Arabidopsis thaliana: one gene and its partners. The protein of the gene in region 3 interacts with the protein of the main gene of each other region in a pairwise test. Each region holds a gene or a part of one and is shown on either strand. Other genes may lie near its edges. The genes, in order: AT5G22270, TGA6 and NPR4.

The links.
Region 1: the proteins of NPR4 (region 3) and AT5G22270 interact in binary tests that used the Arabidopsis thaliana proteins (3 or more experiments, as listed by UniProt).
Region 2: the proteins of NPR4 (region 3) and TGA6 interact in a two-hybrid assay, tested with the Arabidopsis thaliana proteins (2 studies listed by BioGRID).

The regions. Positions count from the first base shown.
Region 1 is NC_003076.8:7,368,695-7,378,716, forward strand, and holds AT5G22270 (uncharacterized protein), read right to left. Parts: upstream 4,566-10,022; 5' UTR 4,347-4,565; intron 4,123-4,346; 5' UTR 4,075-4,122; coding exon 3,793-4,074; 3' UTR 3,415-3,792; downstream 1-3,414. Other genes in the region: MS1 (RING/FYVE/PHD zinc finger superfamily protein), read right to left, coding at 1-435, 591-873, 1,186-1,498; AT5G22280 (peptidyl-prolyl cis-trans isomerase G), read right to left, coding at 5,578-5,832, 6,263-6,418; NAC089 (NAC domain containing protein 89), read right to left, coding at 7,350-7,685, 7,772-8,002, 8,169-8,422, 8,603-8,804. UniProt on the Arabidopsis thaliana protein: Involved in ethylene-dependent salt stress responses by reducing reactive oxygen species (ROS) accumulation.
Region 2 is NC_003074.8:3,901,778-3,912,965, reverse strand, and holds TGA6 (TGACG motif-binding factor 6), read right to left. Parts: upstream 6,616-11,188; coding exon 6,550-6,615; exon of another isoform or gene 6,516-6,549; coding exon 6,441-6,515; exon of another isoform or gene 6,394-6,440; coding exon of another isoform or gene 6,346-6,393; coding exon 6,274-6,345; intron 6,183-6,273; coding exon 6,123-6,182; intron 5,999-6,122; coding exon 5,921-5,998; intron 5,588-5,920; coding exon 5,536-5,587; exon of another isoform or gene 5,287-5,535; intron 5,247-5,286; coding exon 4,975-5,246; exon of another isoform or gene 4,901-4,974; coding exon 4,655-4,900; intron 4,530-4,654; coding exon 4,383-4,529; downstream 1-4,382. Other genes in the region: PRMT3 (protein arginine methyltransferase 3), read right to left, coding at 1-278, 356-523, 611-850, 935-1,013, 1,246-1,343, 1,459-1,926, 2,007-2,324; AT3G12260 (LYR family of Fe/S cluster biogenesis protein), read left to right, coding at 2,629-2,847, 3,532-3,714; SCPL15 (serine carboxypeptidase-like 15), read left to right, coding at 8,048-8,181, 8,270-8,415, 8,502-8,578, 8,669-8,791, 8,875-8,977, 9,059-9,096, 9,191-9,292, 9,394-9,480 and 6 more; scpl14 (serine carboxypeptidase-like 14), read left to right, coding at 11,087-11,188.
Region 3 is NC_003075.7:10,691,985-10,703,838, forward strand, and holds NPR4 (NPR1-like protein 4), read right to left. Parts: upstream 6,809-11,854; 5' UTR 6,260-6,808; coding exon 5,741-6,259; intron 5,650-5,740; coding exon 4,911-5,649; intron 4,830-4,910; coding exon 4,282-4,829; downstream 1-4,281. Other genes in the region: AT4G19650 (Mitochondrial transcription termination factor family protein), read left to right, coding at 1,404-3,182; AT4G19670 (RING/U-box superfamily protein), read right to left, coding at 7,399-7,807, 8,067-8,833, 8,936-9,358; IRT2 (iron regulated transporter 2), read left to right, coding at 11,401-11,854. UniProt on the Arabidopsis thaliana protein: Salicylic acid (SA)-binding substrate-specific adapter of an E3 ubiquitin-protein ligase complex (CUL3-RBX1-BTB) which mediates the ubiquitination and subsequent proteasomal degradation of NPR1 in the absence of SA.

The DNA of each region.
Region 1 (10,022 bases), on a different chromosome or scaffold from region 3:
TTCAGTGACTCTATGACCACTTTGATAGCCATTTGGATCCGTTTTTGAGACCATCTGCAGTTGGTACTATCAATGGAGATGATTTGGTTTCGGGAGTTACTCATGTAGTTATCTCTTGGAAGACGTGAATGGAGATGAAGCATGAACCTGAAGAGGTCACTGAGAGTGATCAATGGCTCGGTGGATAAACTTTGGTACTTTGACAAGAGGATTGGAGTTTCTCGGTTAAGGCTGGTTAGGTGATGGTTAAGCAAGCACAAGGGTATGTTACGGACCGACTCAAGTGCCTTCTCGTAAATCTTTTGAGTCACTCCGTATGTCCCTGACCCGAACCGGTAGCCCCAACGACCGAACCATGGCTCTCCTTTTGCTACCCCATGCAGCAGCCTCAACTCCATTCCTTTTTTGTGCGACGCGTCATTCAACCCTATTTTCCTATATGAACAAAAATAAAATGACTCATTATGTGTAAATCCAAATTAATAGCTAGGAATAATCCATTATGATATGAAAACTAACAGAATTGTGTTGAATGGTTATTGTGTTGAATGGTTTATATGATATACAAATATATAAAGTCTAATTAGTACCTGGCCTTTAAACCGGTGCAGAGCCGGTCCCACAAATCCATGACCTGATGACCGGTTAAGTCGGAGCCGGTTTCAATGCCGTTGAGAGAGAGCAAGTGACCAAATCCGTTGGAGTGAAAGAAGCCGTGAAGGACATGGCCTTGAAGCTCCACAAGATGGGAGAAACTTTCCTTTTCGGGAAAAGCGTAGCCTCCACCTTCCAGTTTTAAAAAAGCCGCCATTGTTTCCTTTGAGGGGATCACGAAATGGTACTTCTTGTTGCATATCATTTGATTTCCCCAACCTGCAAGGTTCCGTATAAACCATTGTATAATATATATTTTTGATCTTTACATAAATGCATCACTTTTAACCATATATTAAATTATTATTGCTATTTTTGTTCATAAGTACGTGTAAGCTTGTATATAGATATATATGCAAGAAAAATGCTTACATGTTGAGCTAGCTAGGTCAACTCTTACTAAATTTTCAGCTTATGATCTTAGGTCATATATAGTTATATACGAATGTATTCACATGCATATATAGATAGATACGCAAAAGAAAAATTGTATACAGAGAGAGAGAAGGGAAAAGAGAGAGAGGACGTCACCAACATATTGGCAATGGTTGCAACGGAGATTGAGAGAGGCTTCGATGGGCTCTTCTACGACAAAGAGAAGAACATAGAGAGGATTTGGATTTCGTTGAATCTCGAGCTGAAAAGACCAACTTCCCATTAGACCGGAGCTCTCAAAGTGACCAAACTCAAGTAGTTTAGCGAGGTTATCTCGAAAAGACAACTCGTTCATCTCAGCTGGATGTCCAGACTCTCCGAACGTCTTCAGCCTAAAAACTCTACTTTCCCCTCTCTTCCTCTTCTTTGGAATATGTTGCTGATGGTCTGTTCGAATCAGATTCGCCATCGAATCAGAAATTTGGTTTGATCTTGAGAAGAGAGGGAATAGGAATATGATAGATTTGGATATATATTATGATGGGGTTTGTTATAAGAAGAGACCGAAAAGTGTTGAGGAAGTGTGTTAAGGGTTTAGAGATATAGTAGTCATTAAGATGATGGTCACACAATTAGTGCTTTGTGGTGATGAAAAGGAAAAGTGAGTGAGAGAAAGAGAAAGGTTAATTAAACTGTGAATTAACAATTGTTACCATTGGATTGTATGTTAGGTCTTGATATGTGCATGACTTGTAACATTAACAACTTTTCTTTCTTAGCCAAATAATTAACTATTTTTCAAAAAAACATTCAAACCCTTCTTATTCCCAAATCTAATTTCATTTCTAAAAATACTTCTGTAATATTCGAAACTGGATTGATAATTTTAATACATATACATGTATTTGTGTAAGAATATGTGACAAATGGCATGCAAAAAGATCGAGGGTGAGGAATGTCACGTGACTTGGGAACATGAGAAGATAATATAATAAAATAATGAAGACATGCATTTGAGCTTCTCACATTTTTAAAGAATCAGATTAACTCTGTGTTCCGTCAATTTCTGTCATGTCTACCTGCACATATATGCATCTATTACATAACACACACGTGTGTGTTTGCGTGGTTGGACAAACTCAATTTAGTCGATTATCAATGTTTTAATTGATATGTAGTTTATTGATTTGTGATAGTGTTGATGATTTGTCATCACTATATGTTCAAACCCACATAGTTATTGTTAATTAAACATAATTAATATGTTACATCAATAGAAAAAGGTGTTTACATCAATAGATGTTTTTTAGCGGTTTAAAGAAAGTTTCAAATTATGTTCTCAGAAAAAGTGGTTTGCAAATTGCAATGGTATTTACTTAATAGTTAATATATTACATTCAAAATTGTACTCACCTTAATGATTGCAGTGATCACAACAACTTTGGGTACTTACAGTCACTTCAGTGCTTCAAATATATGTTTTTAGTGTTACAATCTTCGTAAAAAAAAAGAGTTAAAAGTTCAGACCAATCAAATTTTAATCTTTTTTTAAAATTAATGATATGCCTTGTTAAATCCCGATGCTAACAATTGCAATATTTGAGTTTGAATCAATATTAAGCATATCTAACTAAAATGTTGACCTACTATCACTTGTTTAGTGTTTAAAGTTTAAACTTTGACAGCCACTAATAGTATAAGTAGGTATATACGTACGTAGACTGAATAATTGTTGATAATTTTGTATCATTTTTGTTTCACGATTCTTAGTAACAAGTAACAACGACCAGCGAGGCAGCGATACATTATATTGTTAGTTGAATAGTAGCCAACAAGTGACTTTGATTCGTTTTTATAGTTGTTGGTTGAATGATAGATTTCTTTGATAGGTCTTACGTCAGCGAAAAAATATATATTTGGTTTTGGTTTGTCCAATTGAAATTGCCAGTAGCGGTAAATATAATGATAAAAATGTGAGAAATCTACTTAAAGGATACGTGTTGTTTCTTTTGATAGTTGGGGAAAGGAACAAAACACACGTAATGTTGAATCCGACATTAATGTAAAACCAACATGCATTTTTTTTATAGTAAGTTTAGGTGAAGATTTTTCACATTTATAATAAGCATAACTCTTTTTCATGTTTTTATAAACATTTAATTTGTTAGTTCAACAACTTTGGTAACAAGTAAACCAAACCTATTTATTGTTTGACGTATGATGTGTATATATTTATGTATATACTTCGCATTTAACGCTAGAATTACATAGTGCAAAAAAAGGAAAAGAAAAAAAAGTCATTGTTCCACATTTTTCATATTAAAAACATAATTAATTGTGCCATGTACATATACATTGAACTTATAACAAGTCAACAACGACCATTTTCCATTTATAAAATTAAATATCGCAATAGTCCGAATACGTAACCTTTTGATGAGGACACAATGACACATCCATCATTTATACTAGCTATTAATCCAAGTTTAAATTTTTGTAATCACCCGTTGCAAAGAATCAATATTAATATTGCTTAGTTTTCTACAAGAATTATCCATCGTTAAGCAGTCAATATTACAAATGAAGTTAAGGATGTTTTAAAAACATAAGTATATAGGTTTCGATTTTATGAACATATCCGTTCATTGTGGATTAATTCAAACTATCAATAAATGTGGCAACAAATTAAGGAAAAGAAAAAAGAAAGAAAAATAAAAGAACATCCTTAATTTAATATTATGTATTTTTTTTTTATTTTTTTTTTTAACTAGTGCTCTTCTTGCTATGGTTTCCTGTGAGAAAATCAAGCAAAACATGGCTGTTGCATCTAGGGCATCTAGGGTCATTCTCTAAAGAAGTGATGATGTACATGATGCAATTAGGGCAGCCAACGACCACCATTGATTTAGCCTCTCCTCCTCCACCCTCAGCTTCCTCCGAGCATAACGATGACGATGAACTCTCAGTGAGCAAAGATGAATCCAACGACGGTGAAATATTTAGTTTCAGATCAAGTCCAAGGTTACTCGCAGCTTCTTGATTCATGTTCCTTGCCTTCCAAGAAGAGTATACTATGTGTGTTGATATATTATTCTACAAGAATCAGAATAAGAAACACAGTAAAACAAAACTTTAGATGGAGATCCATGGTTTATAAAACATGTATATATATAAAAAGAATTGATCAATTGAATACTTATTTTTCTATCGATCAATCAAAAAGTGAAGATGACAATAACAAAATTTCAACATATGAGAACAAAAAAAATTCGATGAGAACAAATTAACTTGGTTCTCGGGTTCCAAAGTAGCTTTACCTTGGTGAAGACTAGTAGTAGTTTAGTTCTTGTTCTTGAGATTTAAAGAGAGATAGTTTGATGTCTGCATGTTAGTGGCTGTTATATATATATAGATAGAGGAGAAGATACACGCAAGATGAGAGAGGGTCTCATTGAATGTATATTAATGAATTAGTAGGATTAGTTTCATCTAGCTTTCAAAATAAATATTCTTGTAGAAAATAATTATAATATGAGGTGTTTGTAAGCAATAAATGTAATTTGAAAATAATAGTATGCAAAAGATTGAGTATATGACTTGTGCTTTGAAATTGCATTTATTACCAAATAGTATTTGGATAATTACAAAGGAGATATTTTTGTCCATTTTCATAAATCATCATATTATTAGTATGAAAATCGAAATTCAAATTGAGAGGGAAGAAGTAGACAATGCATTTGTTTCAAACTTGGAAGGTTGTAATGTAGTTAAAATCGGTGTTGACAAAAACAAATTGTAGTTTAATGGGTAGTTGATATTATTAGATTTCTAAAGTCGTATATGATGATACTTTTTTTAATAAACCGAAAATTATTGTTGAAAAATTGATAAGTATTGGTGAATATGAATTTGGATAGCTTGACGGCTAGACGCACGGCCAACAAATGATAGAAAGATTGACCAAAAACAGATGAATGGCTTTTGACTGTTAATATTATTGACTTTTAGAATGCCAAATAGTAAAATGGAAGAATAATAAATGAGTATGTGAAAATTCATGGGAGATTTGGTTTTGTTTGACTTAGAACAAATATGGAGTTGTGGTTGGTGTCTAATAAGAGATTTATTTAGGCTCTGACTAGTGATGAAATCATGGAAAGAATATGACATAAGATTGCTTTTGTCATCTTAGACTTTCGTTAGCCTCATCAGTCAAAGTAAAAATCTAACTACACACAACCAAAGTTTGACTATACCAAGACATCGACAATGATAGAATCAATCAACCATAACTAAAGATATTACAAGTACCCTAATTCTCAACTTTTATTACAAGTACTTAAATATCTCAATCTTACACGTGAATAAAGTAAATCATCCTTCTAATCAAAACATCAGCAAGGTTTTTAACACAACAAAAGTAAATTACAACAGTTTTTACGTACCATTTGGGTTATTTATTAGAATTGATGTAACCGGAGGAAATACTAGTCTTCCACGATGTGTTTCCTCTCGAGCTCAATGAACTGTTTGTTATTATGGGAGGTTTCAGTGGCGTTTCGTGTCTCGTTCTCTCCTTTGCATCGCTGTAACTGCATTTGAAGACTTCGTACAAGGTCGTTTAGCCTCTGGATATGTCTCTCTTGTGACAAGATGATCTGTAACGATTAACAAACTAAGAATTGACAGGTCTTCTTCTATTTTCAGGTTCAAAATTATGCTGAAGTTATGAGGTTCGTCATACATCCAATGGAACTTTAAGGTTGCAAGACCAATAAGTCTATGTTTCTCCACTAACCTCATCTATTTGATGCAATCAGGGAAAACACAACAGAAGGCAAAAAAACCCCGAATATTTCTATGCAACATTAAAAACTCAGATCAGTCATTGATGGATTCCATAGACATTCTCAAAAAGAAGAAGATAGAGATATGAAAGCCAGTTACAAAGAATGTTTGTCCAGAGACTCATGAGACTAGAATGTCGAGGATAAAGTCAACAACACAACTACTAAGGCATAGTTATAGATTGACTCAAAAGGCAAGTGAAGCAGATATAGGAATCTTAAGCATCAGAGCATTCTAAGTTAACTGACACTATCCAATTATGCATATCTCTGCTACAGTTGTACTAATCTATAAGTCACAATCCCAAAACGAATTCTCAGGTCTTTCTCATACAACTGAACACACAAAACTTCAATGAAAAAGAGTTTAAGAATGAAGTAAGTACCTTCTCCTTGACAGCTTCTTCCCTCTTTGCAATTTGCTGATGTTTCTGAGACAAGCTAGGAGCTGCATCAAGCTCAAGAAGTGGTTGCCTCCATTCAAACTGAGAAGTGACTATAAGTATAACCAGAAGAAAGACTAGCATGATCGGCCTCGACATTTTCTATTCAGCTCTTACAAAACCTGTTCCAAATTTCACAATCAATCCATTTCATACCATCCTAAACACACATCCAAAGACCACGCCTAATCGAATTGAGACATATATCGAAAATGAGATCGATGCGACTTAAAATTCACCTACTCACTTCAAATTTTCTAATTAAAAACCAAAAGTAGAACAATGTAAACAGTGTAAGCTGATACTATAAAAAGCAACTCCATCAAATCAATGACCTAGGGTTTCAATACGAATCTCCTTCATATGTAACTAACTTACTAAGGATAAGCAAATAACACATACTACAGAAAAACTGAATTTCCTCAGCACAACAAAGCAAAATTGAAGCATCGTAGAAGATATAACGAAGACGATTAAGTATCTCCAACTTACAGATCGATTTATCACAGTGAAATCAAACTTCATTATCGAATCATCAGCTTTTCTAGGGTTTCTTAAACCGGAAAAATTGACGAAACTGATCGAGATCAATAAAATCGGCTTGACGGAGTATTGAGGAAACTTGACTTCTCCAAAATGGGTTCTCGTATAGAAGAAGAGAGAAAGAAACAAAAGCAGAGGTTTAATGGCGGCGAGAAAATTCTACAAATCTTAGTGCAACAACCATCTGGACGAGAAAGATAAACAGTACGGATTTGGAAAATAGTCATTTACTAATTTGCCCCCATCATTTATCCATTCTCTGATTCTCATTAAACACACCACTTAATAAGCCTTGAAGTGTAAAAACTATATCCACTAGTTCTTCTGTGCTTGATATTTCAGGTTTTGATTTGGTTGCACAGATTTGAAGTAGAAGTGTAAAACATAAACCGTTTACACAAAAACATCATATAATCCTTGTCAATGTCCGAGAAAAGATGATACAAACATAGCTAGGACACTGTTTTTCGCTACTTCCATAAGCCTCTTATTCTAGATAAAACAACATTGCTATCAGAGCCACTACACCTATAATAACATCCCATCGTGCCTTGTTCACTGATTTGATCGAGTATAAACCCACGAAGCAGCTCGACAATGATTCCGTGGCGTCTTTTCCTTTCTTCTTCTGTGATGGTCTTTCCTCTAACAGTGATGACATTTGTTTGTCTATCATGTTTGGTAAAGGAAGTACCCTTATCTCCATTGATGCTGATTCTAGTGTTGGCACTTCGTTTGGTGTGTTCCCTGTCATCACCGCTTCATCGAGATTGATGATTTCGTCTCTTAGGATATCCGCAAAGAAATCCTCGTCATTATCCACCTAAACCACACACACATAACATTCATTAAGAAGAACGACAACAATCAAGAACCATCATACAACAATTAGAAGCCAGGTGACAAAACCTGTAGATTTTCTGATGACTCTGCCATCTCAGCGAGTAGTTTCTCCCCTGATTCACCTGCTAGGTAAAAATCAACCAAGTTGTCCCAATCAGACGGGCTCCCTGAACTCGTAGCGCCATTTTGGACTTTCGCATGCTTCTCGGCTGATGAATTTGGCTTTGGTGCCTTCTGACTTGTACCACTATTGTATTCTTTGTTCCTCCTAACCCGGCAAACAACCATAGCATCATCCTAGAATTTACATAAACATAATCAATCAACTCAAGCCAAAGACAAAACTCCTAAAATTTTACTGTATTCCTCTTAGAGACTCAAAAAGTAGCCAAAGTCACCACCTCTTATGTAATGGTTAACAATTAATCTATAAGAAAAAACAAACTCTCGAGAACAGTTTTACCAGAGATACTCCTTTCACGCAGTACTCGTGCATAATCCAGTCAGTTCTTTCGCCTTTTGGTGCACGACCAATATGGAAAACAAGCGTCCTCTTTGTTCCAATGACCTCAGAACCAGACTTCACATCACGCTCTTTCCCAGTTGCTTTCCAGTATCCCATCTTCGTTGCTCTCCTGTTCTGTGAACCATGTGGATACTTTTTCCCACGCGCACAGAAGAAGAACCACTCGCTATCAGATTTCACAATCGACTTATCTGCAAAGAACAAACACACAAAAAAAATTGTCAATTCCAATCCAAGAGCCAAAAAATAGAAACTTTATATCTTAGGCACCCAAAATAGAGATCTCTCCTGAAGCCTGAAGAACAACAAAATCAAATTCCAAGTAGAAGAAAGACACAAAAGAATCAATTGGTTCGAATTCGAAGACAAACCGGGTAAATCCCAAGGCTCGAAATTGTAAATCTCAAGGTCCGGTATAACCTCAACGGACCTCTCCAAGCCATCCATCTTCCGCTTCAGGTAATACGAAATCAACTCCACATCCGTCGGCGAGAATTTAAACCCAGGAAACACCGTCGACGCTTCCATCGACGCCGCCGTATCCTTAGAAACTCCAACCGCCTTCGTGTCCATGAAGGCTCGCGCGTATACAACAGTCGCCACAAAAAGAGCGCGTAAGAAATCGGCCACCGCCCAAAGAGTAAAATCCGGGAATTTTCGATAACCTGAAGGATTTTTCTTCTCAGTGTGGTCTCTTCTCACTTGCTCAGGGAGCTTTTGAATTGTTATTGGAACACTTCACAGGTGCACACATATGGGTTTTTGCATACGTGTTGCCAAGGCATTGCTTAATCTACGTGTGCATGCCACGTCACTAAACCTAGTTATATTATAGGTTTTATTTCATTTAGACCCTTAATGTTTTTACGTACTCCCAATTTACGACTTATTGTTTAGTGTTTTCAGATAAAGTCCCAATATATATCCGAAATCTTACTATCGATCAATCGCTCACAATTATATATCCCAAAATATCTTGTTCAGGATCTCGTAATCAACAAGCGTTACCTCAAAGTTTTTGTTGATTTGAAGCTTAAGGGTTAACCACTTATCATTACAAGAAAACTTATCCTTCTTGATGGATTTCAACTGCTCCACAAGACTTTCCATATAGTTAAGTTTAATCAAAAACTCATGTTCAAAAAAGCTAAACAAGAAAGGTGAATTTTCGCAAATCTCCCTCCGTAAAACCTCGTACGTCTTCGAAATAGTATTAGTAGTAAAATCTGTGGACTATGTTTCTGTGTCAAGGTACGACAGGGAAAACGAAATGTATGAGTGAACTTTATTGTTGTTTCCATGATGAAATGGGGTTACAAATTACGATCAAATTATACTCAAATCATTATTTGTAAAAAAACTAAAGTGATATTAACGTGGTTAACTCTGTTCTGTTAATTTTTTTGGTGATGTGAATCCAAAAATTACTTTGAAAGTTTCTCGTACAATTAAAAGTTTAAAGTTGATGATGAACGGAAACTATAAACAATCATAACAAGAAATTCTCCAAATTATTTCAGCAACAAATTTATATTTTGTCAAGATCAACAATGATCGATAACGATAATATGATTTAAGAGTTTTTTCATACCAAAACTCTTTAGAATTAAAAATCCTCCTTTCATAGGCCTTTGAACTAAAAAATAGAACTCTTCAACAATATTTTAGTCAAAAGCTAATGATACGTGAAAGAGTTCGATACCTTTTATAACACCATCCAAGGATATAGATCAAGTCTAAAACTAAGAAAAGAGATAAACATCTAATCTTCTAATCCTCATACCTTCGAAA
Region 2 (11,188 bases), on a different chromosome or scaffold from region 3:
GCTTCTCTTCTGTCATTACCAGACAGAACCGAGGCCGGTGCCACTGAGATTGGTTCTTGAAAAGTTAAGATTGTCTGAGCCCAGTGTGTTGGGGGAGTGTAGGGTGATGTGGATAGTACGGTTGGGTTTTCCTTACAGAACCTACTGGTGAAACCTGTGTCAAACCACAACACAACACCATGGCACAACCTAGTTTTTGCTTCTGACTCAGTGGGCTCCAGCGTTGCCGTTGCTGTGAAATCTACTTCATCCGGTTTCATGGTAGCCAGGTCAAATGTCTAGAAACAAAGAAATTCAAGGAAATTAATTTCAAAGTTTTTCCTGGCGAAACCAAATAATGTGTGATCTTTCAAACCTGAAGAAGGGTAGGCTGTGTCACTAAATCACGCTCCGCTATAACGTCAACAATGGGAAGTCGAGTAGTGTCGTCATGTATCTCCTTCCCAATTGAAGACATGTCAAAGCCATAGACATCTTCCCAGAAAGGAAGACTTGTTGCACCTTTTCCAAATCCCGCAACAAACTGATCCAAGGAGAAAACAAGGGATAAAACTCATCAAGATGATTTCATGAAAAAGACAACATTTGAAGGGCAAAAGATAAGCTTTACCATAGTGGCCGTGTCAGGGAGGATTGCACCTCCAGGTTTCAACCACCGATCTCTTGCATAGAGCACAGAACTGAGCATTGACTCATATAAAAGGCAGTATCCCATCCATTCGCTGACTAACACATCAACACTATGAGGCTGAATCTGTATCGATTTATCTAGCTCTTCTACCATTGAGTGTGCAACTTCAAGTACCCCATTATGCTCGTTATCATTGAATACTTTGTTATCCTTCGCAATCTGCTAGAAACCAGGTAAATAATTGATATCTATGAGGAAAAAAGAAATAATGAAAATCTTGTAACAAGTAGAAAAAAAGGTAACCTTAGTTGCAACTTTGGCCATCTTCTCACTAGCTTCAACTGCAACTACCCTTGAAGCCCCAGCTTTAGCAGCAAAAAGACTGCAGACAAAGGATAAATGGTTATTGCATGCAAACTAAAAATAAGAAGTACCAAAAGTTTGACTTAAACAATCAAAGGATCTGCATATAGGCAAGAGAAATTCAAGGAAGCCTTCAGAATATGAAATAAAAGAAGCAAATAGAACCACATGTTTAAAGCTTCGTTTAGAGAATGAGAAGAAACCTAAATGAGATGGCCAATATAGAGTGAGAAAGATAACTGCAAACTCACCTCAATATCCCAGTTCCACAACCAACATCCATTACAACAGAGCCATTCAAGAGAGTAGGATTCTTCAAAAGTGCATCTCGGTATGCTTCTGTTCTAACCTGTTACAGACATCAGACACATTGAATAAACCTGACAGCTGATAGTCTTTCTTCATATGGTGCAAGTGCAGGTTAGTTAATTATGACACAATTCCAGAAAAGATTAGTGCATTACCTTATCACTTAGCATCTCCCTGTGAATGCCAAACGAACTATAAGATCCAAAATAGTTCTCATTCACCTTTCTGATGTTCCTATTAACTAGCCTTCCATCACAAACCTTTGGTTCTGCATCTTTCCCATTGACTATCAAATCATCCGCAGAACTTTGCTTTAGGCCATTGCAGTTTGAGAGCGAAGTTACATCCTTACTTCCATTTATATTGCATTTATCACTGTTCGACATTGAGCTTTCCCCTAAAGCCTCGACATCAATGCTTAAATCCCCAAGCTTCTGCAATTCCTCCATCACTTCCTCTCTGTCAAACGTGACTTCTTCATCTTCCTCATCATCTGCAAACGAGTACAAAAGTGAATCCTCCTGCCAAAAAGGCTTCAGATACTTCTCTTCATCCCAAGGAAACTTAACATCTTTGTAATCATCAGCTTCAATCTTCCAACTGAAACACATGTTCTCAGCCACCTAATTCATTAAAGGAACCAAATTTAAACAAAAACAATAAAATTAGAGAAACCAAAAACGAAGGAAGCAAAAACACAAACCTGTGAGCGAATATAGTTGATGAGCTTAAAAGAAGAGTAGAAATCGAGCTTCAATTCCTTTCTAACTCCATGAAAGTCGAATCCGTGGCTTAGACGACAGTGTTCGAAGAGTAAATCACAGGAAACGAAGTGAGAATCACAAAACAAACACAGAAAATCAGATTCCGAGTCGTCACCATCATCCTCCTCCTCCTCCTCTCCTCCTTCTATACCATTATCATCAGCTTTCCAGTCTCCCCAATCTCCTTCGTCTGAGTAATTTTCTTCTTCATCCTCGCTGTAGTTGAGAATCTCGTGCTTCACCATTGTCGCCGCCATGAGAAAGATAACGGCGCCAAGTTCTTAAGAGAGAGGTTTAAGAAAGCGGAGACACCCCGGCGGGATAGAAAAACAATTACCTTCTTACCCTTTTTTGTAAACCGAAACTAACCGGAAATAATTACGGCTATTCTCTACATCAGCTTAGGCCCATAAAAAGCCCATTAGCCACTCACTTCGAAACGACGTCGTCAGATAACTCTGGAAGCAATCAGATAGTCAGATGTTTGTTTCTCTATTCGGCTACTCATTTCTCTTTTAATCTCAGGCAGGAAGGTGAAATTTTTCGATTTCGTAGATCAAAATGGCGGCACCATTCGCGTTGAGGAAAATCGGTGTTCCTCCGAACTCGGCGAACCTGACGGAAGCTCGCCGCCGTGTTTTCGATTTCTTTAGAGCTGCCTGTAGATCTATCCCCACCATCATGGACATTTACAATCTTCAAGATGTCGTCGCTCCTTCTCAGCTCCGCTATGCTATCTCTGCTCAGATTCGGAATAACGCTCACATCACCGATCCTAAGGTACTTTCCCTTAATTTAACTCTGATTAATACGGACCCAGGTCCTATGCGATGGCGAAATTGAAAGCATTTTCCTTGTTTGGCTAATGCGTCTTGGTTGGCTACCAAACAATGAGCTGTTTTATATTTGTTAATCTGATCGTATCTGCTTTCTATTCCACTTTTGGCTTGGATTTATTGTCAGCTTTGTTTGAGTGTTGTTGAAAGCTGAAAGCTTACACCTTCTATCGTGTAGAATTTGTGCAAGTAGTTTATGTGAGCGGAGACTTTTAATTTCTTGGTAGTCTTATCTTATGAACAAAAAAGTGTCTTGTGAATTGGGTGCTTGGTGAAGATTTACTTGGAGCGAAAAGGTGGGAGCTTTACCGGTTACATCCTGCTAAAGCTGTGTTCCTTTCTTCTTTGCATTTGTTTTCTTTCATAGATGAGTCTGTTGTCGTCGATACAGTAAACCTGCTACAAAATTATATACTTCATATCAAAATGGTGTTCTTTCTCGTAGTATGACAGCATTGTTGGCATTTGGTACCAAAGTTAAGATTTGCTTATGTGGTGAATGGTTAGTTGTTTGTATTTTGAACCATCAATTCAAAGCATCTCCTTGAGTGTGGGTGTAGTGATCTCGGATTGGTTCTCTTTTAAGGTGATTTTAGAATGCAATCTGATGGTGGTCTTGCTTCTGCAGGTAATTGATCTTCTTATATTCAAAGGAATGGAAGAGCTGACTGACATTGTGGATCACGCAAAGCAGCGTCACCACATCATCGGTCAATATGTGGTGGGTGAAGGGCTCGTGCAGAATACTGGAAACAAGGATCAAGGAAAGACTGATTTTCTCAAGAATTTCTACACCAGCAACTACTTTTGAACTGGTGATGTTTACTTTTCGAGTTTCACATAAGCTGTACTGTTTATGCTGCTTCAGTTCTTGCTCAAGTTTGCATATGTCTTGCCAGTATTGTATTCTCGACATTTGGAAGAAGTCTTCTTCCTGGAAATAATTAGATCTTTTCATTTGTATGAGTATTTTCTCTGACTCAGGTTGGTTATACATAGTATTAGCCAAACCTCTGTAAGCTTTATGTGTGACAGTGTTTACTGGGCAATCTTGCTATGATTTCAAGATACACAATCTGCTCTCTTTTTTGAACTCTCAATATAAATTGATTTGGTCTGCTGGAGTTTATGATCATACAATCCAAGTTCCTGAAAGGATCCCATCTTCTGTCATGTTGGTAATTGCGACCTTACACTGATCACCTATCCGCTTTGAATATTCAAAGACCTATAAACATTCACTCTATAAAACTATGCAACCTGATGGCTAAAAATTACAACACACACAACACTCGAGTCTTGCGGACCTCAGGAAACCAATTTCAAAACCTGCAGTCTTCTTTCCCAAAATATTGCTTTTGGTAAGAATCTGAGAATGCCTTGCTTTGTGATCGATCTCTTGGAAGGAGTATCCCTGCCGATCTGAGTCATAAGATTATGTATAGGGCTGACTGCTGAGTAGAGCACTATTCTTCTGTTTCACTCTCTTGGCCGGGCAAGCCACAAGGAACTAAGAGCACGTAATCGAGATGAATAATCGTGTATAGCAAGAAGAGCACGAGCTGACTGACGTGTTGTTAATACTCGAAGCATCTGTTGTAGTGTTTGCAGCCTCAAGTTATCAGCCTGCCACCAAGAAATGCCCTATGAACTCCATAACAGACGGATTCATATATAAAATAAAATATTTATCTCTTTGTGACGATGAAAAGATATGGTATATCTCGATAACATCCACATTTCTAAAGTACCTGGCGTATGAATCCTTCGAGGGTGCCTAACTGCCCCATTGCCATGGCCATCTGACCCATGTAGCTCGCGACATTATCCGATGAACTGGAACCAAGAGTTCCACTGGATAAAGTATCAGCTAGGGATTGCTGTAAACTCTCCATCCCTTGAGATAAAGCATCTTCTGCCTGCTGCGACGTCTGCTGCAAGCTATTGATGCCCATTACCTGTCGTTCTGTCATGGGCTCTAGCTGATTCGCAAGAAGCTGTTGTGAAAACACTGCGACTCATTAAGTTGGCTGTTCATCAAAATCTCTCTATGGACTTGGAAAGAGCTTACCTTGAGAAGTTCGGATGAGCGGAACCCGCCAAGCCACAAGAAACATCGCTCAGCTGGTGTTTTCCACATTCCAGATAACAAGTGGAAGACATCATTCTTAGCTGCATTGCTCTTAATCCTGAAAAGCTCCTCATAGTGAGCCATCACTCCATCCACAATTATCCGGAGCTCAGTATCACCTGCATGAGCATTCAGGGCAGATCTCAGCTCGTTCATTTGCCTGTTCTTTTCTTCAAGCCATCGTGAGTGTTCTGCATCAAATGCCAAAGCCCCTGCAGAAAGGCAAGTATACTAGATCAAGAACAAACCCTTGCAGACCTAAGCTAACACCAGCGCAAACTATAAGAAACTTCAGTTTTGACATCACCATGACTTTAATTTCCCATCCAGATCATCACTGACTCTTGAAACCATTAACTCTAACAAGTGTAAGCATATTGCCATGAGATGACTTATGCTATCACCAATTCATCAACATATATGTATATATGCACTTATCTCACATAGAAATTTCAAATCAAAAGGATCAATCTCAAAACTAACAGAGAAGAAACAACCCACCATTGCCACCAGTAGAATGAGCTTGGTCTCCTGAACTTGAGATGAAAACTCCCTAAAATTGAAAAATATATATCCTTAAGTGACAAATACACTGTCATGAGTCATGACAAAGAATCTGATAAGAACCAGAATAGAAATTCTCTGTATGCCATCAACATCCGAATAAACAGACCAGAAGGACCTATTTCGAGAGAGTTACCAGCTACTTTTACCCAACTAAACTATGGATGACCCATAATTCTGTTACCTCCTCTACTTCAGCTAACCCAAGACTAGTACTAACTCGTAACTGACTGTTAGTTATAAGTTGAAGTAGCTTCAGCCTTTTATCTTCTTTATAAAGACATACATATCAGAATCAAAACAAATAAGAAAGTTAATAAACCTGCTGTCTTGCTCTTTGCAGCTCCTGCTCAAGTTGAGTCAGCTTTAATCGACTATTCTCCAGCTGCTGAACATACGCCTATGGAGGAAACAATAACATGCTTAAGGTAATGACAGATAGATATTCTTCTAGAGATATTACAAGGAAATAAGAGGAATATATAAGAAAAATCAAAACAAGAACAAAAGCAAAATATACATACCTTCTTCCTCAATCTGCTTTTTCTTGCTGCCTCACGATTTTGAGCAAGCCTACGAAGGGTCTATGGATCAAAACGAAAAGGAAACAAAACAGATTATGCATATGCGTAATATACACAGATGCTAGTTGATCCACAGAGATGAATCTATCACCTTTTGATCCAACTTATCCTTTGATCGATCACTGGAATCAGAGGCAGCAGCATGCATATGCCCTCTATCAGACTGCATGTAATCAACATCAGGAATTACTGTTTCATTCAAACTATGCATGTTTGATGAACATAAGCAAATGACTAGTCCTGTGGATTTGGCTATACCGGTAGAATGCCCCAAGTTTTACCAAGGGATTCCGGTACAAGCCTCCCAGGAGTGACATTGTAGAGATAATAAAACTATAAAATGATTAGAGCCAGATTACGAGCTAACCCCCAGATCTCTATGATCTGTGTCACCATCAGTTGAGACATCAGTCCTTGAACTGGTATCAGCCATACTAGTTTCTGTACTAATACTTGAGCAAACACTATCCACTTGTGCTCCCTTTTGCAATGATAACCTTTCACCTCTGGTGCAGAGTTTCACACTAGAGGGAGGAAAAGCTGCCAAGAGGAAAGAGAAAAGATGATTATGAAAGAAATTAACAGATAGCAGAGAGAGAGAACTGCATCAGTTTGGAATTTGGGCACACTCACAAGTATCAAGTTATTGGCTCACGGAAACCAGCTTAAGTCACACTGCAAGACAACGGTTCAAGTACTAACATGGACTGAAACAAAACAGCGGATTCAAAATCTAACACAAGCGAGAACTAAGCTTATAACACAAGCGAGAACTAAGCTTATAGCAGCTGATCACTCAAACCAATAACTCATCACCAAGGATTCAAAATCTATGACTCTTAACAGAATTCAACAGACACATGAAATTCAAAGCATACTAACATTTGAAATCCATAAGGATTCATCAAGATAATTCGATGGAATTTGGTTGCTGAAAACGTCATCAAATGAACAAAAAAAACTTGAAACTTTATAAGCTTCTGAAAGTCAACTAAGTCTTAATTTCCAAAGGCAAATCACAAAGTGAGAAAAAGTAAGCTTTCCAATGACTAAAGTAAAACAAAGAAGGAGGAAACTTCAAACAAAAGAAAAAGAAAAGAAAAAGGAAAGAAACAAAACCCAAAAAACAAAAGAGCTTGAGTTGCAGAAAGCAAGAAGCTCACCTGAAAAAAACTGAAATCTCCTGTCTGAGTAAAAGGTTGTCCGAAATCGGATTGAAAGAAGAAGAAGCAGCAGAGACACGATCCGTAATTACAATCTCTGAGACGTCGATTTGTCTACAAACCCACCATCCCAAAAAGAAACATCGACAAATTTAACGGGAATTTGCAAACTAACCCCCCATACTATTCTTGTTACCCCTAACGAACTCTATAGTCTTAGCTTTACAAATATTACCCCATACAAATTTATTGAACCGGTTCAAACTGTCAACCGGTCCGGTTTTCTAGGCAATGCTGAAATCATTAAACAATAATTTGTCCTATGTCATGTGCAATAAAATAACCTGCAAAGCATTTTACATGGGACTTTGTCCCTTCTGGCCTTCCACGTACATTCTCACGTCAAGTGCCCAAGTGTTTTCAGCTCAAACCCTCAATTTCAATTCGTTAACCAGTTGGCAGTTGGTAATTGAAGGAGAAAACAAACTCTAAACACCTTTACATCCAAAGGAAAACTAAACAGATTAATTGGAACTGGTTAGAGAGACTAACCCGAATTGTCTCGGGTATAGATATTGCAATTGACCGGTTTATAGAACCATACTCAACCGAAAAGATTCCATCTTTGTTTTGGGTCAACGCCTCTGCTTTTGAGTTTTGAGTATATATAAAAAATGTTAAAACTCAAAAACTAAAACAAGAATGGCTTCCTGGATATTCAAGTTGCTGCTGCTGCTGCAATGTGTGCTTGTGTTGATTCAACATGCTGATTCAAGTTCTATCATCAGATATCTTCCTGGTTTTGAAGGCCCTCTTCCATTCGAGCTCGAAACCGGGTTCTTTTCCTCTGCATTTTCATTTCCATATTACCCCTATAATGTATGTATGACGCTGTGTTCTGAGTTTTAGAGTTACATAATGAAGGTATATTGGTGTTGGTCAAAAAGAGGAAGATCAACTGTTCTACTACTTCATCAAATCTGAGAACAATCCAGAAGAAGACCCTCTTCTTGTCTGGTTAACTGGAGGACCTGGCTGCTCTTCTTTCTCTGGTCTTGTTTATGAGAATGGTAAAATAAAAATCTCTTAACTCTTTCTCATTTGTCGTCTCTGCATACTATTCAGTAACTTGTTTGAATTGAAAAACAAAAATCAGGGCCACTTGCTTTCAAGGTTGAGACTTACAATGGAAGTGTACCGACGTTGGTTTCTACCACATATTCATGGACTAAGGTAAAACACCAGTTTTGTACTCCTGATTACAAACCCAACTAATGAAACTCTTCTTCATCTTCAAGTTTTAAGACCATTGGTTCTTCTCAGGTGGCGAACATAATATATTTGGATCAGCCTGTTGGGACTGGCTTCTCCTACTCAAGAAATCCATTTGCTGATATACCAAGTGACACAGGATCAGTTAAGCGGGTCAACGAGTTTGTTCGTAAGGTAAAGGCCAAAACTCAAAGCATCTGTCTTTCTGCATTGACTTTTGGAGATTTCGTTATTATTGTTGGTGATTTGTTGTGCAGTGGCTAGCTAAGCATCCTGAGTATTTCTCCAATCCTTTCTATGTCACTGGAAATTCTTATTCCGGTAAGGTGATTCCGGCCATCGTTCAAGAAATCTCAAATGGTAAGTTTTTATCACTTCAACCCCTATATATGCAAGCCCTTTACTTTGATTCTAGTTTCTTGATCATTTATTTTACCACAGGAAACTATATATGCTGCAAACCTCAAATAAATCTTCAGGTTCATTACTATATATATGCTTGCTTCTTACATTATTTCCAATATTGAACATTATAATTAAAGAGCTATTTGTTTGCACACCACCAAAAAACAGGGCTATGTGATCGGAAACCCGGTAGCATACTATGATCATGATAAAGACTTTCGCATTCCATTTGCTCATGGAGTAGCACTCATCTCTGATGAACTCTTTGAGGTACAATTACATATATGACTTAGGATATATTGTATAGTTTGTCTCCTGTCACCACAACAAAGTAGTTGAAAAACCAGTTCAAATCTCTTTTTACTTTGTAGTCGTTGAAGGCAAGTTGTGGAGGAAGCTACAGTGTTGTAGATCCTCTTAACACAGAATGCTTGAAACTCATCGAAGATTATGACAAGGTTTACACACAATCTGCAATTTAGTCGGCGTGAATGATATAAAAAAAGAAAATAACTAACTTAGAATTTGTGGTTATATTTATTTACAGTGTGTTTCTGGAATATATGAAGAACTTATTCTAAAATCAAAATGCGAGCACACATCTCCTGATTGTTATGTAAGTGATTCCAACTTGTATGTTGTATCTCTCTGTTTATATTTCGATCAATGGCAAACCACTTAACTAACCATTAGAGAAGAATATTGACATGGTTGCTTTTTGCAGACGTATCGGTATTTGCTATCTGAATATTGGGCTGATAACGAGACTGTCCGCAGAGCACTCAAAGTTGTGAAGGTATATGACAAGTTTTTGATAAGATCATTGGTAAAATATCTGTTGATCAAACTCTAAGAAGATTTTGATCTCAGGGGAGTAAAGGGACATGGGAACGATGCGATTATAGAGTGCTTAGCAACCAAGACATCAAAAGCAGCATACCATTCCATATCAATAACAGCATCAGAGGATATCGATCTCTAGTCATTAGGTACACAATAATAAACTTCTTTACAAGCTTTTTGCTTTCATTGATTTGTTTTTTTGTAAGCTTTTTTTTCTGGTATGGTGTTTCTGTTGAATAGCGGTGATCACGATATGACAATCCCTTTCCTTGGAACTCAAGCATGGATAAGATCTCTCAACTATTCCATTACTGAAAAATGGAGACCTTGGATGATACTCGACCAAGTCGCCGGGTATATATATATAACCATTTCTTTTACATCTTCTTTTTTTGTTGTATATAAGCTTCTCATCCGACGAAATCAAACTTTTGTTATTTGCAGATACACCAAGACTTATGCCAATAAGATGACACTTGCCACTGTGAAAGTATGTTCTTTTATCCACATTTATATGTCAAACAAAAATGCAAAGCTTGTTTACACCAGTTTATTAATTGGTTTGTGGGTTTGGTTTATTATAGGGAGGTGGGCACACATTGGAATATAAACCAGAGGAGAACTCAGTCTTGTTCAAGAGGTGGATAAGTGGTCAACCTCTTTAAACACACTTGGAGTGATCTTATTGATGTTGAAGCCCAAAGTGTTTGGTTTGATATAGTATTCCCATCTGAAGTCAATGTTGCATTATAATCTAGAAGAAAATATATAAAAAAACAATTTTTTGTCTACGTAACTACTCGTGGGTTTTTTCTAGCACTTTGATCAAAAGAATGCACCTTTTAACTCCTACCTGCTAAAAAGTATATTATGATCACTTAAAACTTATACAGAGATGTCAATAACCTTAACAATTATAAATGTTTAATGAAGTTCAAAAATTGATTTGTCTTTGTCCGGCTTTGTCCCATGTGCAAACTTCAAAGCACTTTACACGCGAATTTGTCCCTTCCACGTTCAAAAACCTAGTTTTCTATCCTTTAACCAGTTGCAGACGGAACAAATTAGACAAAGACTAAAAGATGTCAAATTAAACAAAGACTAACAGATATTAAACTAAACAAAGACTAAAAGATTTTTGTTTGTGTCAACGTCTCTGTTTTGATTTTTGAAGATAAAAGATGTTTTTTCATAAAACTCAAAAACTTAAGAAAAAACAGAATGGGTTCATGGATACCGAAGTTGCTGCTGCTGCAACTTGTGCTTCTGTTGACTAAGCATGCTGATTCAAGTTCTATCATCAAATATCTTCCTGGTTTTGAA
Region 3 (11,854 bases):
TTCTGACCTTGTTAGACGATTTAAATCGAGTGTGCAGGAAAACCTAAGGGAGAATATGTTAATTATGAAATATTATATCTTTTATATTGAAAGCACCAAATCATCTTGTTTTTGGTTGTATCTTATATATAAAAGGGTAAGGTAGGTGGATTTTAGGAGGAGCCAAGGATTTGTTTTTTGTTTTTTCTTGCAGAAATTTGGTAATTTTGGCTTTTATAATTTTGTTACAAATAGTGAATAAAATATTAAAAAAATAAGAGAAAAAAATATTTAAAGATATAGTGAATAAGATTTAACTTCATTGTTATAATCTATATTTAATAATTTACTTATAATTATAATTAAAAATTCACTTAAATAAGACATATTAAGATCTTTGAAAATAATTTATATTGTAATTTACTGTCAAAAGGTTTTGAAAAAAACAACATTTGAAAAATAATCAAAACAAATATAAAATTCATCCGAGTAAGCCACAAGTTTTATATAAAGCTGTTTTACAAAGAAAAATCATTCCTCTCAAACATAACAAATAGTCAAACAAAACATATGCAAGTTAAACAAGAGTCAAGTTATCTTTTTCCATCATGTTGAACTAAAATCTAAATGCACTTAAGATAGTCAGAAATATTTTGAAACTAAAACTAGTGATTAAAAGAATACTTGTTATTATATGTTTGGTAGGCGTTTTAGCTTGAAGATGATGACCTAACATGAATTGAATCTACCATGGACCACTTGAAATTGACCTAATAAAAAAGTTACATATCTATAAAATCAAAAATCAGAAAGACGAACAAACCATTTATGCTCGTGAAGAAAACTCACCGTTTCTTGCTGCCTTTATCTTGCATACATATAGTCAGCTCAAAGAAATCACCACTTGGTTGGGTTTTGAAGTCGTTTTATAGTGATATACTTGAAGAATTTGTAACGCTCGTGATAATAACACGATTTCGTGTGATATGTTTATCACTTTTGACAAGTCTAAACTTGACAAGTCTATTAATTCGGTATCAAAAGAGGAATAATAATATCTCACGTCAAGTCTTTTAAGGCCAAGTGTTGATGATGCACTAATTGGTACCTTTATGATATTTCGGAAACTCTTAGGCACATATTGAAGTATAGAAAAATAAGATTATGGTCGTTTCGGATATATTATAAACGTTTAGGGGCTTCTCTGAAATTTCCACCTTAATTTGAAGCCAGAACAAGGTTTAAGCAAAGTAACTGAGATTTGGCTATGAACCCTAAGAATCTTGGGAAAATGGTTGATTCAAATGCTTAATAAGCCCTAATTTCAGGTAAATTTCTTACTTGAAAGAGTAAGCATTGAGAATTCTTCATAGCTCTCTATTTGATTGTGACTTTCACCTGTTTCTCTTTGTTGTTAGGTTGCGATGTTATTATCCAGAAATCAGAGAAGAGTTCATAAACTGTTGAATATGATTTCAAATCTCAACTACTGTATAACTTTCTCATCTATTCCTCGTCAAAACCCAGTTCAAAGGTTCGACCTTTCTCGTGTTTCAGTTCCATTTCGGAGTTTTCAGATTGAAAGCTGTGTTCGTCAGGATAAATCTAAGTTACAACAACACTCGTCTCACTTACCAACTAGGTTTTTCGTTAATCCGGTATCAAGGGCTAGTAGGAATCAAGCTCAAGAAGCTCTTTTTGATTACTTGCATTATACTAGAAGCTTTACTTTTACTGATGCAGAGCATATAAGTAAGAATTCTCCTTGTTTTATGTCGACTTTGTTGTCTAAGATTGATGATAATCAGAAAGATGTATCCAAGGGATTGACTAAGTTCCTTAGGTACAATCCGATAAACGAGTTTGAACCGTTTTTCGAGAGTTTGGGTTTGTGTCCTTATGAGTTTGAAACGTTTCTTCCACGGAAGCTAATGTTTTTGAGTGATGATGGTATCATGTTTGAGAACTTTCATGCTCTTTGCAACTATGGGATCCCGCGTGGTAAGATTGGCCGTATGTATAAAGAAGCGAGAGAGATTTTTAGATATGAATCTGGGATGTTGGCGATGAAGCTAAGGGGTTATGAGAATTTGGGTCTTAGTAAGGCTACAGTTATTAAGTTAGTTACTAGTTGCCCTTTGCTACTGGTTGGTGGGATTGATGCTGAGTTTTCTTCTGTAGTTGATAAGTTGAAAGGGTTACAAGTAGGATGTGATTGGCTTGGGCGGTACTTGTCTGACCGGAAAACATATAGCTGGCGCAGAATTCTGGAGACAATAGAGTTTCTTGATAAAGTGGGATGTAAAGAGGAGAAGTTGAGTAGTCTTTTGAAAACGTATCCAGCTTTGGTAATCGAAGGCTCCGGAAAGAAATTCTATGTTCTGTTTGGTAGGTTGTTTAAAGCGGGGCTTCAAGTGAATGAGATTTATAGGCTATTTATAGACAATCCAGAGATGTTGTCAGACAAATGCGTGAAAAATATTCAGAAGACGTTGGATTTCTTGATTGCTATTAGAATGGAAACGCAGTTTATCACGAAGATTTTGCTGAGTCATATGGAGCTTATTGGTTCATGCTCTCTGCCAGCACCTAGAACTGCTTGTCTTAGTTTGAATGTTAAACAAGACGAGCTATGTAAGATCTTAAAGAAAGAGCCTTTGAGATTGTTTTGTTTTGTTTCTACAACGAAGAAGAGAAAAAGCAAACCTCTTTCGGAAGACTCGAGGAAATACTTAGAGAAGACAGAGTTTTTGTTGAGGCTAGGGTATGTAGAAAACTCGGATGAGATGGTGAAGGCTCTAAAACAGTTTCGAGGGAGGGGAGATCAGCTACAGGAGAGATTTGATTGCCTTGTGAAAGCCGGTTTAAACTATAATGTGGTTACTGAGATCATCAGGCATGCTCCGATGATACTTAACCTGTCTAAAGATGTCATAGAGAAAAAGATACATTCCTTAACCGAACTTCTTGGCTATCCAATTGAATCATTGGTAAGGTTCCCGGCATATCTGTGTTATGATATGCAGAGGATACATCACAGATTCTCAATGTATTTATGGTTGAGGGAAAGAGATGCAGCAAAGCCAATGCTGTCACCAAGCACTATTCTCACTTGCGGTGATGCCCGGTTTGTGAAGTATTTTGTCAATGTCCACCCTGAAGGTCCAGCCATTTGGGAAAGTATAAACCAATCATCTACCTGAAGTTAAGGTTATTGGCACTATTTCTTGAATTTAGTACAACTGAGACAGTGAAGGGTTTTTGATATCAATGCCACCTAATGAATCAAAAGGAAGAGTTTGGAGAATTCCGGAACAGAGAGATCCATTAGTGTTAGCCGATGCTTGTGAAAGAGCAAATGAAGTATGTGCTGAGTTACAGATTTGATGCAGATCTAAAATGTTGCGTGAATTCATTGGAAATATTCTTTAGATAGTACTGAGAAGATCTGCAAATTGTTTGTTGGAATATTCCTCCTTAGCCGTCCTACAACATCTGTCCTGCAACATCTGTCCTGTAAACAAACAGATGGACACGCATAACATTCGAAGGAGACAGTACTGATGATTTGTCCAGAGTCTGTTACAGGTTACTGAAAGATCTCTCATGTGATTCATATACTCTTTAGTAATAGTTAGCTTGTGTTATGTAATTGACTGCTTCAGTTCAGGTCTAAAGGAAAGCAAATATTTTTGTAACAATTGAAGACATAAATCCAAGTAGTAGAATTTTCTGACCAAATAAGCAAGCAATATGTTCTAAATGATTTGGATTCAGAGCATCATATTTTTCCTTTACACATTTTAAAAATCAAAATCCCTTGTAATACAAATTGAACCTAAAGCCAAAATGGGATCTTCAATCTTTTCAAAGGAACTATCTCTATTCTCTAGTTCCTGTTTTGCTATCAGAAGCAGGCTTAGATTTTGGTATTGAGATTAATTCAACACGAGGATCTTTCCCCTGAGAAAGTGCCTGTTTAGTAATTCTCTTGCAAGAAGCTTGAAAATCTTTTAACTAGCTTAACATTTTTCTTGTGCTTCTCGTTCTGCTCAATCGTTGCTTCGATTTCACTTCCATATATTACAATTTTCTGACTAAAGAAAGAAGCAAAGCAAAAAGGAAAGGTTTTGCTTTATACATTTCAAAAATCCATCTCCTTTAATACAAAATCAAACCTAAACCATGTAATAAACCTGAATACCAAAATGGGATCTCCACTGTTTTCTAAACCAAAACCTATAAAATAGCTAATTTCTTCCAAGGAACTATCTCTAGTAGCATTACTTATCTGGGACAAGATCATGTTGGATTCTCTAAGGCTTCTCTAAGAGAAGAAGCTGGTGATGAAGAAGAAAGACAAGACCGCGCGACTTTGTCTTTGCTATATGCTTTTTTAACGTCGTTCTTCAGCTCGTTATATCTCATCCTCTTCTGTCTTCTCTCTTTCACAGTGCCTTTCTCGGGATACGACATATCAGGGATTTCTTCGTCCATATACTGATCCATGTACTTATCCAGAACCTCATAACAAGATGGGAAGTATCTCCGACCTGTCTCAACTGCGTTGTTGAACGGTTTCGAATCAGTCAATCTTGTGGTCAGAGAATAAAACTTGAAAGTACATTTCCTTAAGCTTTTACCTGTTTTCATGAGGGCTTTCATACGTGTAAGCATTCTTTTCGTTTGCACATAAGGCGTTTCATTTAAATCGACTTTACCCAAGTTTTCAGTTGTATCATTTGATGGAGGTGGAGTTAGAAGACCTGTGCACTCGCTTGTCCCTTCAACATTAGCAACGTCCATAGCCACATTGGCTTCTGCTGGGAAGAACAACTGAGCAAGTCCCACTGCAATGACACATACAAGAATTCAATAAAGAGACATCAACCTTAAGCTATGAGAAATATATATATCGACTAGGTCAATACCTCGCTTTTCTAAGTATAACAACCTCATTTGGAGATCCTCGGGCATCGAATGGGAACAAGTGGGTGTATCCCCACTAACCAATGGATTCCTTCTAATTTCCCTTTCCAAGATATCGATGCATAAGCGGTATTTACTAGGTTCTTTCCTTGAGGTTTTGGTATGATAATCTTTCGGCCTAGTGAGTCTCCTACATATATTTACCGCACTGCGTCCATCAAACGTGAAATCTGAAGCATTAGCTCCTTTTTGAATAAGTGGTATGATAATTGTTGGCTCTCTACGCATAGCAGCAATATGAAGAACCGTATACCCCCTGGAATTTCTGAAATTAACATCAGCCATATCTAGATCAAGAACCTGTGTCACAACTTTCGGATCACTGTATGCCACTGCATAATGTAGACCATTGGCTTGGTCTAGAGTTATATCTGACTCAGTCAAAAGAAGCTTCACGAGTTCTACATCATCTGAATCCAATGCCTTGAGTACTTTCCCTGTTCTCTCTATCGATTTATCCTCCACCTCGGGTATGTTCACCGACTTAACTCGAAGCTGTTTGATTTTTTCCAATACTTCTAAAGGAAGCTCCTTTTCGATACAGAATCTGTCTAAGTCTGATCTCGCCACTCTCTCAATGCATTGATCAAGAAGCTGTGTCAAATCACAATGAAACGCAACTAAGAGGATAGGAAGAACATTCTCTACTAGTGACTTCTCAACATAGTTACGAAGCTTCCGCTGCAGACACAACAACACACAACATTACAGCCTTGACCAATCAAGAACAGATTATTTACCAGCAAAATCACAAAGAAACTTTATCTCAAACCTGAAATGACGAAACAAGATCCGGGATTTGGAACACAAATGAAGCATACATCAACTCAACAGCAAAATCAATGGCCGGTTTACAAGAATCATGAGCACAAACTGAATCAACACAAGTTGAAACCTCGATAGGAAAAGGCTTTAACCTCCCAGTGTAGATATAGCTCAAGAAATGCAGAAATGCCTCACGTCCCACATTTCCATATGGTAATAAATCTTTCATTTGATACTTAGGTTTCTTCTCACTACTATCTTTATCTTTCTTAAACAGATCAAGAAAAAACTTGCTCCTAGCAGCTAAAACACATCTATGAACACTCACAGGGTTAGCTTCTTCTTCAATGATGATCTCTGCGTCAGTGTAATCGCAATCTGGATTAGTGAGAAGCTGCTCCAAGTTAGAGCTGAGCTCTTCAAGATTAGCAGCTGAGTGATAAGTAGTAACAACAGGAGAAGGGTTTGATAAGTGAGAAGATGTGAAACTTATAGATGAAGATGGCTCTATTGCAGTTGCAGCCATTTTGTTCCCCAGAAGTATCACTCAAAGACTCTGTTTTTGATCTTCAAATCCCCAAGGATACAAAAACCCTAAATCTAAATCCAATGACAAGGATCAAATTTTGAGAAGTGATTGGATCAAAAACAATACAGAGAAGATCATAGATATGAAATTAATCAAGCCCTGAAGAAAAGATCCAAACTTTATGAAAGAACATTCTAATGAATCAATGTGAAGAACAAAGTCAATTCGAGAAATGCTTCAAAAAGTCAACGAAAATGGCGGATGAGAAAAAAAAACTAAATGAAACTTAAATCATAAGAGAAAGAACTGAATAGATGGGTAGTCTTCAAAATCATTGCACAAATGAAAAAGATTTCAAGAAGAAGAAGACAATCTCAGAACAGATGGGAGAAAAAAATCAGAGGTTTATCTAAAAGCTAAAGGTGAGAAATAAGAAGACTGACCAAATAGTAAAGTCTTTGGAGAATAGTAAAGAAAGAGCCAATTCCTAATCCAATCTCCTAAATTTTGTGACGACGATTCAAAAACCGTAAGCAATGTCGTCAGCAATTGAAGACGACTTGAGTTGTGGTGAAGTGGGTCTATGACGTCTTAAATAACGTCAGCTTTGAGAAATATACACAAAATGCTAAGTAGATTGATGATAAGTGGACCCTTTCTAATAAGGTCATAACTTATAAAATGGGTTATGTTATGTCTACACAAAAACTCAAGATAATGCAAGAGTAGATTGATGATAAGTGGACCCTTTTTAATGGGTTCTGTATTTTATTTGAAGAGCATGAATAATTGAATTTATCAAACTTTTTCTTTACTTGGTAGTTGGTATATATATGATGATGCTAACCAAGTTCATTTTGATTAGTTCTTCAACCAAATTTTGGTAGATTAAATATCATAACATAACACTGAATATAAAAGAGTGTTAATCTTTCTTGCAGGATTTGTAGAATGGAGATGAGCAAACTCTTCTTCTTATAATTGCAAATAGTTTCATCACAATTCGTTTGTTTGAGTTCATCAAGAATCTAAAACCCTCCCAACAATTACTTTCGAGAGTGAGATACTCTCGTTTGGCCTCTCTGAACCAAACCAAGCCGGATCCTCAAGGCTATTAAATTACAATTCTACTACTTTCACTGGCTATTATACTCTTCATAGTAATCATCACTTATAACAGACACAAACCTCTCAAGCCAAGGAAGCTGATGAAGATCTTTCATTGCGGCTTCAACATATGATGACTCTGTACATGGAGGCGGCGGTGACTGATAAGTAGTATGGTGATCACTGAGACTAAACCCTCCACCTGCTAAGAACCTTTGGATCAGAGCAAGCTGAGATCTTTCTTGCTCTGAGTACGCGTCCATTACAGTTGGAATTGAGTTAAATGTGTCCCAAGGCCATTGCTCAACTTCTTGAATTGTGTTTTCCTCTACTGCGTTTTCTTGTTCTTCTTCATCATCGTCCCAAAAAGCACACGTGCAAGTCTGTTGCCCTTCTCTGTACTCTGCTCCACACGAGTAGCAAAACTCATGCCCGCATCTGCGGAAAACACAGAGAGTTTTGACATTTATATGCGTAAGAATCGCAAAAGAAACACTTGCTCTAGAATACTAGATTTAAACGTAGGCGAGAAAAAAAAAACCTTAGAATCATATGGTTATTACGATACCGTGATTCTGCAGTTAAAGGGTCAAGACTAACTATATTTTATTGGAAGTCAAAAACCTAACTTTGGTGGTTCAAATATGTATAGATACGGAAAACAATGTGTAGCCATAGATATATATGTGTGTCTTACCGGCAAGTCATGTGGTTGCAGCCTTGAGCAAGCTCGATCATTATACGGCATTGCTGACACCGCCTCCACCTCTTATACCTTGCCAAGCGATGCAATGTAATATCATCTGGGTATCTTTCATCAACTGGAAGAATCTGAAACTCTTCACAGCTCATAGAAGCATGCCAAGGAACACCACAGTCCACACACACAAACCTCTCACAGACTGGACACTCCACACAGCAGCTATTCTCTGACTGAGTAGACGAGCTTGAGCTAGCCCTTCCTGATGATAGACATTCTTGCGGGTCTAACAGAAAAGAGCAATTGGGATATGGGCAGTAAATCTTCCCATTGTTTTTACTACACACATTTGCTTCCTCGAATGATTTGAAAGTAGTGACGGGAAGGAACGATTTGCATTCCGCTGCTGAGAGATAATGCTTGCATTGCACTTGAGGACACCTGATGGGAACCTCTGAAGTCTTTACTTTCCCTTCAACGTACGTTTTCATGCAGTGCGAACAGAATTTGTGAGTGCATTTCAATGATAGCATCATCTCAGACTGACGGTCTTCACAGCAGATCGAGCAGTTCTCGATCGGTTTATCCCCATCAAGATTAGAAGACACGATTCCTACCGCTACTTGAGCCAAGCTTAGAGCTTCATCAAGATCACAGAAAGGAGCAAGCTTTAGAACAAACCCATTAAGGTTACTTGTTTTCTCCAATACCCTTTCTCTCAGAGCTACTAAAAGAGGGATCTCGAGCTGCTCCTCACGAGTTATCTGCAAAGTCAATTCATATAAAACGTGAGCTCAAACCTACAAAGAGATACAAAACCATATGAAAGCAAGTCTCTTCAACAAGCTAAAGAAGAGAGACTTTACCTGATTATAGAGCAACTCGGAGTCGGTTACAGCAACCACAGAGCTGAGATTGTTCTGTAAAGCTACTTCAAGACCATCCATAAGAGCTAAATAGTTAGCTACAGACTCTTCGACATAAAAATCCAACTTCTTCTGAACCTGAATCAACTCCAAATCTCCTGACCTCTCCAACACAACACCAATTCCCGAATAACCAGAACCCAAATCTCCTCTTTCGAATATCGAGACTCCTTTAAAGACCATCTTAACAGAGAACTCATCATCAAGATCATCTTTTTTCTCCTCCTCTACAACTTTAGCTATATCATCACTACCCTTTAACCAAAGTTCTTCATCACCACAACAACTTCTAAACTCTTCCTCATCTCCTAAGTGATTCAATGGAAGCTCCTCACATTCACAAGAATCCTCTTGATTTTCCATGTCTGGAAACAAACCTATCTAAACTACAAAAAGGTACAAACTTTCTTAACTTAGCAACACACCAATGAAACCCATATCGGATCTGCAAATTTCATGAAACAAAACCGAATAAAAATGAGATAAAGCTAATTCTTTTAGATATCATCTAATCTCAATTATACCATATACTGAGAGAGAGAGGAAAGGGAACAAAAAAAATGAACTTTGCATTACAGATCAACAAAACAGCTAAGCTTGATGAAGTTACATAAACAGATCAGCATAAATCAGAGACCAAATCATTTGAAAGTACACAGAAGATAACAAAAGAAGCAGCTCGATTTGTTGACCCACTAAACACCAACCAGACCCTCAATTATTACATATTTCAAGGAAGAAAAAAATTCTAATTTATTTAAGTAGCAGAAATCACCAGAGATTTTGTAATAAAACGAGATCGGTTGAAATTAAAGTATCATTAAGCAAGAACAGAAATCCAGAAGCTTTCTTACCAGTGGAAGGAGATTTACACTTGGAAACTAAAATTAAGAAGAAAACTCTAAGCTATAATAACATCTTCAAAATCTCTGTTTTTTTCCAGGAAAAAAAAGAAAATAAACGCATTGTTTTGGATGTTTCTACTGAGTTTTTGTGGAGAGAAGAAGAAGAAGAAGAAGAATCATCGGTTCTTCTGGTTTTGCTCTCTCTTCGAATGGCGTAAGAGAAAAGTTTTACTTTTTTTTGTTTTGTTTCTTTATTCTCTCTTTTTTTATTTATTAATTTATTTTATTTTTCTGAGTTTTTGGCTTCACTTTGCTGTCATTCTCGTACTGTACAATGTTTTATATTTTCCCACAATGAAATAATTATTTTCACATTACTAATCATCAAGTATTTAATTTAAAATATATAGTTTAAATAATTGAAACTGTAATAATGGAATTGGATTAGAACCTGAGCATGAAGAATTATAGCTTAAGAAACCAAAGTTAGCACATGGACTTTGTCTCCTCTCATTGAGAAAAAAAGCTGTAACTTCATTAAAAAAAAATCTTTCTCTGACTTTTAACATCCAATAGTTATATTCCCTTTGAATAAAGTTAGCAAAAAGAAGTACAAAAATGAAATTTTTAATAATTGTATTTCTGCAATAGAAGACACTCGAGGACAGTTTATGGCAGCAGGAAGTTTGAAAATGGAGACAGCAATCATTAGCTTAATTGTTTATAATCTTAATTCAAATGGGAAATGTGAACATGGACTTATCTTTTATTGCAGTGTTTGTGGCATCTGAAGAAACAGTAATTAACAGAGGAAATAAACAGAACAAATGCGATTACTAATGAATTAACCAAATAAATGGAGCAAACACAGAACAAACAATTGAACATCATTTCTAATTTGAATAACACTTCTCATTTGAATCTTGTACATCATTTCTAATTTTAATTTGTAATATATGGGCCTACTGAGACATATCAATGTGGCCCAATATCAATAGATGGCCTACTCAGATTTTTCCTTTGAACACAACTAATTAGTAATTCCTAATTTGCTAATAATGAAAACATAAACAAATTTTGAAGTAGGAAATAACGATATATTACCAATGGATATGACAAAGAAAACGACAAATTTTGTAGTTTTTTAACAGTTTGTAAATTGTAACATATTCAATTCAGCGATGTCGGTAGTTCAATTTTAATTCAACATTAAACCAATTTAGCAATACATTTTGACAGTAAAATAATACGACATTTCATGTATCGTTTGGCATGATCCACACCTTCCAGGCTTCTCTTCGATTAAACAAAACTATAGGATAATATAAAATACAATTTAAAACCTTTTTCTATCTGATAATGTACATACACAATCAATAAAATCAGGATTCCGATTCTCTAGTGTAATCTTTTTTCTATTGATTTAGTCATAACTTGACTTTCCAAATCAGCAGCACCGAGAACAAGCCGGCAAATCTTCTATATAAGACAACCAAAGACAAAACAATTTATCTCATCAAAAATTCAAACATCATATATTATAAAACAATCTCAATACTAATGGCTACTACCAAGCTCGTCTACATTCTCCTCATCCTATTCACCTTCACCGTATCTCCGGCGATCTCAACGGCCCCGGAACATTGTGATAGCGGCTTTGATAACCCGTGCATCAACAAAGCTAAGGCTTTACCACTCAAAATCGTAGCCATTGTTGCCATACTTACAACAAGCTTGATAGGCGTGACCTCTCCTCTTTTCAGCCGTTACATTTCGTTCCTCCGTCCCGATGGCAATGGTTTCATGATCGTCAAATGTTTTTCTTCTGGAATCATCCTTGGAACCGGTTTCATGCACGTCTTGCCTGACTCTTTCGAGATGTTGTCATCGAAATGTCTTAGTGATAATCCGTGGCATAAGTTCCCTTTTGCGGGTTTTGTCGCTATGATGTCCGGTCTAGTCACTCTAGCCATTGACTCCATTACCACCAGCCTTTATACCGGTAAGAACTCAG